Macaca mulatta: one gene and its partners. The protein of the gene in region 1 interacts with the protein of each later gene in a biochemical or structural test. Links are inferred from orthologs where the notes say so. Each region holds a gene or a part of one and is shown on either strand. Other genes may lie near its edges. The genes, in order: NTRK2, PTPN1 and BDNF.

Evidence for each region.
Region 2: the proteins of NTRK2 (region 1) and PTPN1 form a complex in vitro, tested with the Homo sapiens proteins (2 studies listed by BioGRID, with this or other methods). The link is inferred for Macaca mulatta from reciprocal best matches to the Homo sapiens genes NTRK2 and PTPN1.
Region 3: the proteins of NTRK2 (region 1) and BDNF form a complex in vitro, tested with the Homo sapiens proteins (3 studies listed by BioGRID). The link is inferred for Macaca mulatta from reciprocal best matches to the Homo sapiens genes NTRK2 and BDNF.

Annotation. Positions count from the first base shown.
Region 1 is NC_133420.1:115,605,276-115,609,540, forward strand, and holds the start of NTRK2 (BDNF/NT-3 growth factors receptor precursor), read left to right. Parts: upstream 1-1,407; 5' UTR 1,408-1,640; intron 1,641-2,155; 5' UTR 2,156-2,277; intron 2,278-2,543; 5' UTR 2,544-2,752; intron 2,753-3,240; 5' UTR 3,241-3,616; coding exon 3,617-3,828; intron 3,829-4,265. UniProt on the Homo sapiens protein: Receptor tyrosine kinase involved in the development and the maturation of the central and the peripheral nervous systems through regulation of neuron survival, proliferation, migration, differentiation, and synapse formation and plasticity.
Region 2 is NC_133415.1:103,436,722-103,440,295, reverse strand, and holds part of PTPN1 (tyrosine-protein phosphatase non-receptor type 1), read right to left. Parts: intron 3,333-3,574; coding exon 3,109-3,332; intron 1,769-3,108; coding exon 1,573-1,768; intron 363-1,572; coding exon 339-362; 3' UTR 1-338. UniProt on the Homo sapiens protein: Tyrosine-protein phosphatase which acts as a regulator of endoplasmic reticulum unfolded protein response. Mediates dephosphorylation of EIF2AK3/PERK; inactivating the protein kinase activity of EIF2AK3/PERK.
Region 3 is NC_133419.1:37,582,190-37,586,239, reverse strand, and holds the start of BDNF (neurotrophic factor BDNF precursor form), read right to left. Parts: upstream 2,814-4,050; 5' UTR 2,188-2,813; coding exon 2,038-2,187; intron 1-2,037. UniProt on the Homo sapiens protein: Important signaling molecule that activates signaling cascades downstream of NTRK2. During development, promotes the survival and differentiation of selected neuronal populations of the peripheral and central nervous systems.

The DNA of each region.
Region 1 (4,265 bases):
AGCAGTGCTATGAGCACTCGGAACACAAGGAAGATTTGAAATTTTGAAGGTGAGAAGGAGCGTGTCTGGGGGAATAATCCAGGTTCTTGCAGAATTAGAGGTTAAGAAAGTAAGATCTCAACTTTATTTTATTTATTCATTAAAAATACACATATATTTTAACACCTACTATGTCCTTGAGATATATCAATGAACAAAATAGACAAAAATCCCTGCCTTCATGGAGTGTACATTCTACTGGGAGAAATTTAAAATATATATATGATAAGTAAATGATCTGTCCAAAAGACAAACTGCTATGGTTGAAATAGTAGAGCAGAAGTAGGGTGATTAGAAGTAGGACCGCAAATCCTAATTTTAAGTGGGAGACAGTCAGTGGAATATATTTAGAATTCAACTATAATAGTAGCATATATTTACTCTAATAGAAATTCTACAGATATTCCAACATAATTGGAATCTTGTGGTGTACAAACCACCGTAAAACTGCCTATTCTCCATACCGCATTGAGACATGCTGCAGCCACTAGGGCGCAAATGGGCCCTTTCTTAGGAAAATGGGCTGAGAGTATGGGAGTGTGAGAGAGATGTGGGTGATTATGCACACACACACTCCTTCCTTCCCCAAGTGTTCCTCAGGGGCTTCTCCACTTAAGGGGCACTGACAAGACAGGCGGAGTTTTACGTGCGTCTGAGACCAGGTCATTTTTGCCCTTGCTTCTCTTCCTTGGCACGTCCTCACCTAGCAGAAAATCGAGAGAGGCCCTGCTGAGGAGTAAACTTCAGCCTGGCCGTTCACCACTCAAAGTGTGTTACAGCCGAGCGACAGTGGTGAGACAGACCTGCTAGCCTTGCCTTCCGGACCTGCAGCAAGATTTTTGGGTGCTGTCCAAGAATTCCCGCGGTAACACTCAGCGCCCAGGATCTGTACAAAAAAGCCCCACTAGATGTTTTACGTTCCCTTCGTAATATTTAATGCTTGGCCTAGATCCGAGCATTCACTCTAAGGTTCGGTTTCTCGATCCTTCCCATCCCCAGCCTCTGCGGGTAGATCAGTGACTGTTACTATATTTTGAACGAGACTCCAACCCATTGCTCTCTCTGGAGCGGAGGATTGGCCGCCTTTTTCCCCGGGCCGGACTTCGGCGAGGCCAGGCAAGCCGCTCACTGGCCGGGCAGGGACGCGCAGGCGTCGGGCGCCGCTGGTTGCGCATCTGGCGCCAGAGCGCGCCCCCAGCGCTGTGCCCGCCGCGACCGTGGCGGTGGGCTGGTGCTCCGGAGCGTGCCGGGCGCTCTCTCCCCGCGCGGGGGCACCAGAGCCCTCGGAAGTGTCAGGCACTGCGGTGCATTTTCCCAGTTCGCTTTTAAATGACTGCGGAAAAACAGATTCCGAGCCGCAAAAGGGAAGACGGATTCTCAGACAAGGCTTGCGAATGCCCCGCAGCCGTCATTTAACTGCGCCCGCAGAACAATTACGGTTTGTCACCCGACCCTCCCGGATCGCCTAATTTGTCCCTAGTGAGACCCCGAGGCTCTGCCCGCGCCTGGCTTCTTCGTAGCTGGATGCATATCGTGCTCCGGGCAGCGCGGGCGCAGGGCACGCGTTCGCGCACACCCGCGCACACATGAACACGCGCAAGGTACGGCAGGGGAGCAAGGGCTTGGGATGCCCTGCATGGGGTGGGCATCGCGGGGAGTGAAGCTACGATATGGGAATGGCTACATCCCGACAGGTTAAAGGATGAGAGAAAATGACGCGGCGCCACACATCGGACAGGCCAGGGTGGCCACCGAGCATTTAGAATACGCATCAGGCGCGCTCCCTTCCCCTCACATGTCTCTATTTCCCGGGCGTGTGATGGCAGAAAACGGCAGGAAGAAGACCCACTTAGAGAGCTAGAATTGTGTTTGGAGACTCCCTTCCCTCTGCAAAAGCACCAACAGGAAGCCCCTCCAAAACCACCGATCCCCAAATAGGTGGCCCGGAATGGGGGCGGTGATCCTTGGTTACCAATGCAGAACACGTTTTGGTGTTTACAACATTTATTTATTTTTAGGATAGCTTGCCCTCCCTTTTAGGCAGGGTGGGAAAGGAGAACGCGGGGAGGGAGAAGGGAGGGAGGATTCCTATAATAAGAATCAGCGCATTTTTCAGAGCTGAACCAAGCACGGTTTCCATTTCAAAAAGCGAGCCAGCCTCTACCGCGATTGTAGAAGAGACTGTGGTGTGAATTAGGGACCGGGAGGCGTCAAACGGAGGAACGGTTCATCTCAGAGGTACCTGGATGTAAATTCACACACACACACACACACAGAGGCACGCGCGCGCGTGTCTACACGGCCAGGATGTGTGCGTGTGTGCGTGCGTGTGTGCGCGCGTGTGTGCACTCCCACATGCTGCTGCTGTCTGCTTCTGGCCAGTGGCACTGATGCCTCCCTCCTCCCTGCTCGCCCCCAGATTCCCCTCCCCTCCCTGGTGCTTTTGTCTGGAGGGTGTTATGGGTTTGTGTGTGTATGAGCGCGTGTGTGTTTTTGGATTTCAGACTAATTTTCTGGAGTTTCTGCCCCTGCTCTGCGTCAGCCCTCACGTCACTTCGCCAGCAGTAGCAGAGGCGGCGGCGGCGGCTCCCGGAATTGGGTTGGAGCAGGAGCCTCGCTGGCTGCTTCGCTCGCGCTCTACGCGCTCAGTCCCCGGCGGCAGCAGGATCCTGGACCCAGGCGCCGCCGGCGGGCGTGAGGCGCCGGAGCCCGGGTGAGCAGCGCAGACAGTGCCCTCGGTCGCCTCGGCCCTCCCTGTCTCCCCCTGGGGCGGCCTCGGCTACTCCCCAGGTGGGACGTGCCGCGCCACCTGCCCGCGCCACCGGCACCCAGCGGCTGTGGCGGATTCTGCAGCATCATTCGGGGCCCCCGTCGCGGAGCCAAAGCTGCCGGCAGTCTCCGCATTCCCCTTTAAAGGGTCCTTCGCCCGGCCTGTACCATGGAATCTTGTCTCGGGGACCCTTTCCCTACCTCCCCTCCCTTGGCCTCAGGCTCGAAGAGAGAGTGGGCACACTGGTGGCTCCAGCGGCGTCAGTGCCATCGCGGGGCAAGTTGATTCCTGGGCTGGAGCTGGGCACTCATCCATCCACAGTCTCCCGGCTGGGATCGGGGTGGGGATGACGCGAGCGCAGAGGGAGAGTGCTCCAATTAGTGGTGTTGGGGGTCCTACACTCAGTCTTACGCGTATCTGTTTGTCCTCAGCCTCGAGGTGCATACCGGACCCCCATTCGCGTCTAATAAGGAGCCTGCACCCCAGAGAGTCCCGGGAGCGCCGCCGGTCGGTGCCCGGCGCCCCGGGCCATGCAGCAACGGCCGCGGCGGAGCTCCGAGCGGCGGTAGCACCCCCCTGTAAAGCGGTTCACGATGCCGGGGCCACTGTGAACCCTGCCGCCTGCCGGAATACGCTCCGCTCCGGACCAGCTCAGCCTGTGATACGCTGGACTCCGCGCGCCCGCAGCAAGCAAGCACCGAGGAGTCAAGAGAGCCGCAAGCGCGGGGAAGGCCTCCCCGCACAGGTCGGGGAAACCGGCCGGTGCAGCGTGGGGACACTCACTCGGGCTGGCACTGGCTGCTAGGGATGTCGTCCTGGATAAGGTGGCATGGACCCGCCATGGCGCGGCTCTGGGGCTTCTGCTGGCTGGTTGTGGGTTTCTGGAGGGCCGCTCTCGCTTGTCCCACGTCCTGCAAATGCAGTGCCTCTCGGATCTGGTGCAGCGACCCTTCTCCTGGCATCGTGGCATTTCCAAGGTTGGAACCTAACAGTGTAGATCCTGAGAACATCACCGAAATGTGAGTTCCTGGAGCTTTTCCTCTTTTTTCTCCTTGCCCCTAGGGCCCGGGCTGGCCAGATGGGTAGGTCCTGAAAGTGAATGCTGTCTCAAGAGTGGGGAGAAGTCAGAGACAAGAGATGCAAGGCAGGGTCATCTGTCAGTTACCTGTCTGTTTCACTGGCTTGGGACTGCTAGTGCAGGAGAAGTGTGACACTTTAGGATAAGTTTTAAATATAGATATACATATGCCGATTATATATGTATTCCTCGTGGGAAGGAACTCACTATGCTTTTTATATTTCAAAGCTCTGCTGGGTGTGCTTTAGGCTTTCCGCATGCACTAACTTAGTTTTGGGCATTTTTGTTTCATAAAGTGCTGTGTGTATGTTGTGTTAGAAGTTCCATTAATATTCACTAGAAAAGAGGTTAAAATAATTAACTTTCCCGAATCTGTTG
Region 2 (3,574 bases), on another chromosome or scaffold:
CTGCCTGGGATGCTCCAGGAGGGAGCCCTGGGTGGGGCGAGCCTCCAGACAGGTGCAGGCCCCCTCCCTCTGCGCCGCCAGCATGGTACTCTTTCACTCTCCTCAAAAAATGGCTTGTGGATTTGGTACTCAAAGTGGAAGGGGCAAAAAGTAAAAGGATGAGGGGTGAGACACACATCCGGGGAAGATGGGTTTTAGTGCAGAACCAACGTCCGTCCGGGGCCCGGCTCTCTACGCGGTCCGGCGGCCCTTACCTACCGCGGCATGCCTGCTAGTCGGGCGTGGGCTCTGCGGGCAGAGGCGGACAGTGGGTGGAGGTGGAGTGGAGGAGGGTCAGGCTATGTGTTGCTGTTGAACAGGAACTGGAATGAAACCAAACAGTTCAGATGAGCCCAGACCCGCACCCGCAGAGCTGTCGCCTCATGCACGACCCCGGCCACACCCCCCGGCAACTTCAACCTCCGAGGGAGCAAAGGGGGTTTTGGTTTTATTTTTTACAGTAGCCCCTTCTCCCCAAAAATCACCCCCAAGGAAAAAATTGTTTGCATTTTGCAAAACCATCTGATGTACTCAGATGGCCACCTGAAAAGAGGTAAAATATTTAAAACGATGAAAAAGTCTCAGGAGGTCATTTCCATGGCCAGAGCTCTGAGGCTAGTCCTCTCTTCCCCTTACTTAACAGCAACACACGTCTAACGTGTGGATTTCTGCTGAAATGGCACTTCTCCCAATGAGGTGGAGCCCACTCCTCTGAATTAACAGAGGGCTGACATGCTGAGGGCCACCCTGTGGTGACCTCTGACCCCCAGGGAGAGGCCTCGAGGACACTCTTTTATGGGAATGGGGTGATGAGGGCTGGTACATGAGCAAGATGGCTGTCACAGGAGGGAGCAATGGAGAAAGGACAACGGACACCCTGAGCAGAAGCAGAGGCAGGTTCTGTTTCTCTAGACGGCCTTGTGTTGCTGTTCTTACAGTGGGAAAGCTCAAAGACCCTGTCCTGGCTCAGTGTGCACACAGCTGAGGGGGGCTTGAGCGCAAGAGCGTCCTAACCCTCTTCTCCAAGGGAGTTTACATTCGTAAAAGTTTGGGATTCCTTCCCTGGGAAATCAAATATAAATTATATAGCTAATTACATCACCTAAGGGTACGAGAAAGTTTCATTAAGTGCCTAGTTTGTTTTTTTTCCAGAAATAACAAAAAGCTGCTTTTTATAAAGGTTAAAAACAACAATGTGTTGTAATTCTATTTTTTTCCAAAAACAAAGGAATAAAAAAAAGAGAGAGAGAGAGAGACAGACGTATTTGGCATTTTCTCTACTTACTCCTGAATAGGTTAAGGCCCTGAGATTAGACTCTTATATTCTTGGGACCAGAGGGCTCCTTAAAACCCCAGTGCATCGATCCTTAATTCTCGTTAGCCCTTCCACAGTTCCAGACTTTAAAAACCTTTGATCTGTTTCTTCTGAGACTGGCTCAGATGCGCCACAGAACTGAATCCTACCATCGGGCTAGCGGCCAGTGCTCTCTGCACACGAGCATCTCGCCAGCGCGTCTGTCAGTGGAAACATACCCTGTAGCAGAGGTACGCGCCGGCCGTGAGGACCGTAGCCACACACATGTTGACCAGGAAGGGCTTCCAGTGACTCAGTGCATGGTCCTCCTCCTTCTTAGGCGGTGACGGCTCCCCTTTGGCTAGGGAGGCAGCCTGGGCACCTCGAAGACTTCCCCCCACGACCCGACTTCTAACTTCAGTGTCTTGACTCATGCTGAGGAATCAGAGGGGCAGAGATGGTTTACTCACTTTGGAGAAAGTGAATGGCAAGGATGCTGCTATTGTGGCAGGAATTCTGGGAAAAAACAAGCCACGTGTAGACAGAGTAGGGTGATGTTAACCTTCCAGCGAGCCAGCCCCTCTTCTTGGCGGGAGGGCCAGGCCAGGGCCCACAACAGCCTGAAGTCCACTTGTCACCCCCTCCCCCAGGTACTTCAGACAGCACCCACAGCCAGGGTAGGGTTCACAAGGTGCCTGGGCGATTGGGCACTGTGAGGATTTATCTGGCTGGAGGATCCACTGGTGTACACACTATTGTATGACTTGCCTTCTCATTTACTGCAATTGCAATGTCTGGCCACATCAGTACACCCAGATCTCATTCTTTAAGAGCTATAGAATATCCCAACACCGGGAGAGAATGTAATTGATCAGGTCCCTGGTTATATCATTGGCCTGTCTCTAATTTTTCACTACTACAAGCAATGCGACAACAAACACAACTACCTATACACATCTTTACATGCTTATTTTGAGAGTCGCTGCAGGGTAAATTTCTCCATGTATACAACTGCTGGATCAAGTATGCACACGTCTTAAAACTTCCCTCCGGAAAGCAGGTACCAAGGGCACGGCCGGCAGTCATCTCCAGCTGGAACTAACACCTGCTCGTTCTGCAAGCTTTCTGTGCACGGCCACCTACTGCAAGCAGCCTTTCCTGACCACCTCAGTGGACACCTCTATCACATCACTGTCCATGGGCTCCCACCAAAATATGCTTTGGGTCTGCCTTTTTCCCAACAAGATGATCTAGAACACAGACCAGGGGACATGTTCTAGTTAACTCAGTACACCACACATATCAATAGGTACTCAATAATGGTTGTTAACCTGCAAGGAAGTAAAATGGGATTTAATCAAGACAACATAAAAAAGGTTACAGTCCCCAAAGGACCACTGTGGGGACTGAGGGCACATGGTCAAGCCTGGACATCACATTTCAGGACTGTCCGGAAGCCTGGGGGAGGGTGCTATCATCAGGGGGCAGAAAAATGCTACTCGGTGGCACCGAGCCCCTCATTCCAACAAGCACCACAAGGTGGCACTAGAAGCCCACAGAAGTGGCTCATGTCCTGCGGCCACCCTGTGCCCAATACCGGGCCTCCCGCAGTCAGGAGTGGAGGGGCTGTGGTCCACACGCCCTGTTCCCCAAGGATGCGGAAGCACTGCTTGCCAACAGGAGGCTGCGTCCACAGGGTTTCAGTACCAGTGTGTGTTTCTAGAACAGAAGGTCATCTCCCCTCAACCCAACAAGCCGGGACCCAATCATATTACCTTTCCATGCTGTAGGGTGCGGCATTTAAGGGGCTTCCTGTTTCTTCCTTGATGGGGCAGTCTTTATCCTCCTGGGTCTCATCCTTCACCCACTGGTGATTTGGGAAGAACTCCCTGCATTTCCCATTGTGTGGCTCCAGGATTCGTTTGGGTGGCCGGGGAGGTGGGGGGACGTGCTCGGGTGGGGGCTCCAGGTCCTCGTGGGAAAGCTCCTTCCACTGATCCTTGAAAGAGCAGCAAGAGGAAGTCCTATTAGTGTTCGCGTCGGCTGGCTTGTCAGGAAGTCCCCTTGCGTGAGCAGAGGTGGCGGCTTGGCGAGGGGCTCTCGGCCTCTCGGGGCTGCAGCCATGTACTTGGAAGATGAAATCTTTTGAAAATAAAGTCTCTTCTTCCTACCGATGCTCTCTGTGAGCACTTCAAAGGCACAAAGTGCAACATGGTGAACATTTTGACAACTTTCTAGCTA
Region 3 (4,050 bases), on another chromosome or scaffold:
TAATGGTGACCAACATGTTTTAAATTCCAGTAAAGGTTATGGTTACATTTCAACAAGTGTCTCTTTCCTTTCTCTTACCTCTCCTGCTCACCCAGAGGTAAATTTACCAAAAAACAAAAATAAAAAAATAAAAAGTCACAAGCAAGGCATTTGCAAAAATCAGAAAACACGAACAGGTGTTTAGTGATGGTTTTTAAAAGGTGCTGTTCCCAGGGTCAAAACTTTGTGGTGTAATTTCAACATGCTATGTTACCTATTATGTGTAATGTCTTGAATCGCTACATGTCATAACATCAGAAATCTCCAACCTAAAAATTATGTTGCATGAGGTAAGCATTGAAGGCACACACGTTCAGACAAATTAAATCTGTAATTATGGCTCAATAAATTAAAATGTAAAGACATATCAAATTGTAAGACCGAAATGGCTTTTGACCTTACAACAAACTCATATAAAAATAGATTTTTCGATAATAATAAAGGGGAGAGAGAGATTTTTCAGGATATTGAGCCAGTAGGGAGGGGTCTCATTTAATAGCATATCGCCTTTTATATGCAGTTAGAAAATCAACGTTCCCAATTGCATACTACTTTGCTTTAAAAGATAACTGTACTAGGAGGATTAATAAACACTCAGAAATATGCTTTTCTTCGCTTCTGGCCAAGAACATTCCTGCGTGCTTGTTGGAAAACGTTCTTTGGTTGCTACTGACATTGAGAGTAAGTGTAAGATACCTAGAGGGCCCTAAAATAAGATCCAAGAAGCCCTAACACACCACCAATCGAGGCTTATCAGAGCTCCCCCAGCGCGAGGAAAACTTGCATAGAAGCCAAACAAGAACAAGGAGTCAAAATCCACCGACGACGAGTCGCATGCCCTACCGAGCTGGAGTCAGCAGCACCATTCAACAAGTCCCTCCTACCAGCTCTCTAAGGGATCCCGCAAAACCTTCCCTTACCACTTCCCCACCCCCAGCCTCCCGCCCCCAGGAGCTGCTCTTGGCAGCATGGCCGGCAGAGGGCACCCTCTACCTTCCCTAGCTTCCTTCTCCGGGTCCCCTCCTCCTCCTTGCCTCCCCTCCACCTCGGTCCCTCATCCCTGCTCCACCCCCAACACAAAAACACTGCATCCTCCAGTTCACCCTCGCAGCCCCAAGGCTTCTTCCTTAGGGCTGCCCCTAGTCTGTAATCTCCCCTTCTTCTTGCCCGTCGGGCACAGAGCCCCCAATCCTCAGCTATTTCTTTCCAGGCGCAACTCACTCTCACCCATTCTTCCCGGCTCTGCATCCCCAGAGACTAACCCGAGTAAGGAATCCCCCACCTATATCCCACCTAGTCCCCGAAAGTCAAAACTCTAACTTCCTTGGAGGGCGCTTCAGAAGAGGGGCGCAGGCTGGGTAGAGATGTGGGTTCGGCCCGCCCGGGAGTCTCGCAGACCCTTTCAGTTCCGAGCGGTAGTAATTCCGCCTCCCAAGTTTTCTAAGCTACATTGGCTTCGGACTTGTAAATCCACTTCAGTCTCAACTCCTGGGGAGCAGGTAGCCGTGTGCAGTCCCGGGGACGACGCGGACTCAAGGCGCAAGCTTCCCTCCCACTCCCCCCACAGGTCGGCGCGGGGACCACCCAACCCCTGGAAGGATTCCTAGCCTAGCCTCAGCACCCTTCCCTCAGTCAGGGCCCCCGACAGCTCTGGCCCCCTAAGTCTCTCTCGACTCCTCCTGGGGTGGGGGAGGACTGCGAGGGATCCCCGGGTCGCCGTCTTGGCTCCCATCACGCAGCTCTGGGTCTCCTCCAGGCCTTCTGTCCTCTACTTCGTGCCTTCCCCGGGTCCCTTTTTCCCTGGTAGTGCCGGGTGACCTTCTGGGTTGTGGGATGGGGGAGAAAACTCCCCAGGAGCAACTCCAAATCCTCCCTTCTACCGGCGGGGAGGAAAGAAGGAGACTGGCCTCGTCCCACAACTTTGGGGGGTCCCCCAGTCAACTTTCTCCTGCGGACCGGCAGCTCCCGTACCAAGCCCCATGCCCGGCGCTTGCCTACCTCGGGGTCCACACAAAGCTCACGGGTCCCCGGCGGCGGAGTCACATCGTGGTTCCGATTCTGGCTCCAGCGCCCAGCCCGGGTCCTCGTCGCGGTGCTGCTCCCCGCCGGCCCCACAGCAGCGGTGGCAGCTGCATTCAAGTGTCTCATTAAAGCCCCCCGAGCAGGAGATGGGAGGCGCACCGGGCCGGTTCCTCCGTCCGGCCCGGGAGCCCGAGGCGCTACGGGGTGCGCGGGACAGCGAGCCGGCGGGTGCGCCCGGGCGCGGCGGCGGCAGCGGCTGGGACCCGGAGCTCCAGGCTGCGCCTTGCGCCCGGGTCAGACATTATTTAGCTCTTCGGTTGAGCTTCGATTGGTCAAACGGCGCCACCCCCCCGCCCCCCTCCCCCCGCTCGCCCGCGCTACCGATACCCGTTCGGGGCGGCTGCTTAAAGGGAACGCCGCGCCTTTTTCTCGCCCGGGGGACCGAGGGGCGCCTGGGACTCCCCGCTCCCCCAGGGCCTGTCCTCACGTCCTCCCCCAGGTCCCCGCGACATCATCCTGCGAGTCCTGCGCCCTCCCGGGGCGCCTTGGGCAGGACGCCCGCAGCTTCGAGGGGTGTTCCAGCCCCAGCCCCAGCCCCGGGGAACCCCGCGTCCCGCGCCCTCTGCAGAAACCCCGGCTGTGCGCGCTGGGGCGTGAGGGAGCGAGTGAGGATCGCACGCCCTGAGGTCTTGCTCCCCTAGCTTTCAACTCTCCCCTTCCTCCCCATCCCAGCACCTAAGTTCTCTGGGAATGGGCGTGCTTTTCCCGGGCCACAGACACACCTTCCCGCACCTTCCCGCACTACGGAGCTTGCGAACGCGAGCACACAATGAAATCGCACAGAGCATGGGGGCTATTGGTTTACTCCGCTGCCTTAAACACGCCGGCTTAAACAGAGTTCGCGCACTGACCTCTCTAGAGTTTGCCTAATAGGAATTCAATCAAGATAACAACAGCATTTTTTATTGATGAACGCCCCCAGATAACGTTACACCAAGTTACTTGTTCCAGCCAGGAAGCCCAGGCAATGACAGACCTCGCTAAAGCCACACGCTTTCTAGCAGACCAAACAGAAAAACGGAAAGAGAAAGAAAGAAAACAAACCCACCTTTTCAGACACTACTTGTCAAAGTAACCATCAAGGCAGCTGCTCTGGGAAAGACTTCGGCCCCAAAACTCCCAGACTCTATTATTTTTTCACGTTCTCTTTGCTTAAAGGGGGGAGGGGGCGCGAGTCTTTAGTGCCCGGTATGTACTCCTTCTGTTCTGCAGCAAAGAAGTTAAATTATTGATAGTGGAAATTGCATGGCGGAGGTAATACTCGCACCCCATCAGCTAGAAGCTCCATTTGATCTCGGCAGAGGCAGGAAGATTTCATGCTAGCTCGCCGGGGGGAGCGGCAGCGAGAGCAGCCCTCTCCGCGGTGAATGGGAAAGTGGGTGGGAGTCCACGAGAGGGCTCCACGGTGCCTTGACGTGCGCTGTCATATGATACCTCCGCTGCCTCGAAATAGACACTCTAGTGCACGAATTACCAGAATCAAAATTCAGCGCATTTAAAATGATACATCTTTTATTAGAAGAGTTCCGTTCCAGGGCATTGCATGCTTTTGCAGATGTTTTCACTTCCAGCCCCAGCAAACACACATATAAGCTAACCCTTTTAATAACGAACCAGGGCAGCAAAGATAAATAAAAAATCTTCTGCTTTAACCAGAGTGGGGGTAGGGGATTCGAGGGTGGGGGCAGAACTGGCTCAGTTAATCCTCCCCCGCCCTCCACCCCCACCACTGCCCGCAGCAAAAGAGCAAATAGTCTTTCGGGTTCTCATTTGCCTGTAGCCAAGACCCATGGAGAGAACTTATATGGCTAGGGTCCAGAGGACATTTTCAGTTATCCGTTTGATGAACTCTGTCAACCGTCTACCTGTGTTTCTGCTTTAAGGCTAAATTTTATTCTCATTAGTTCAACCAATTTGTGCAGACCTTAA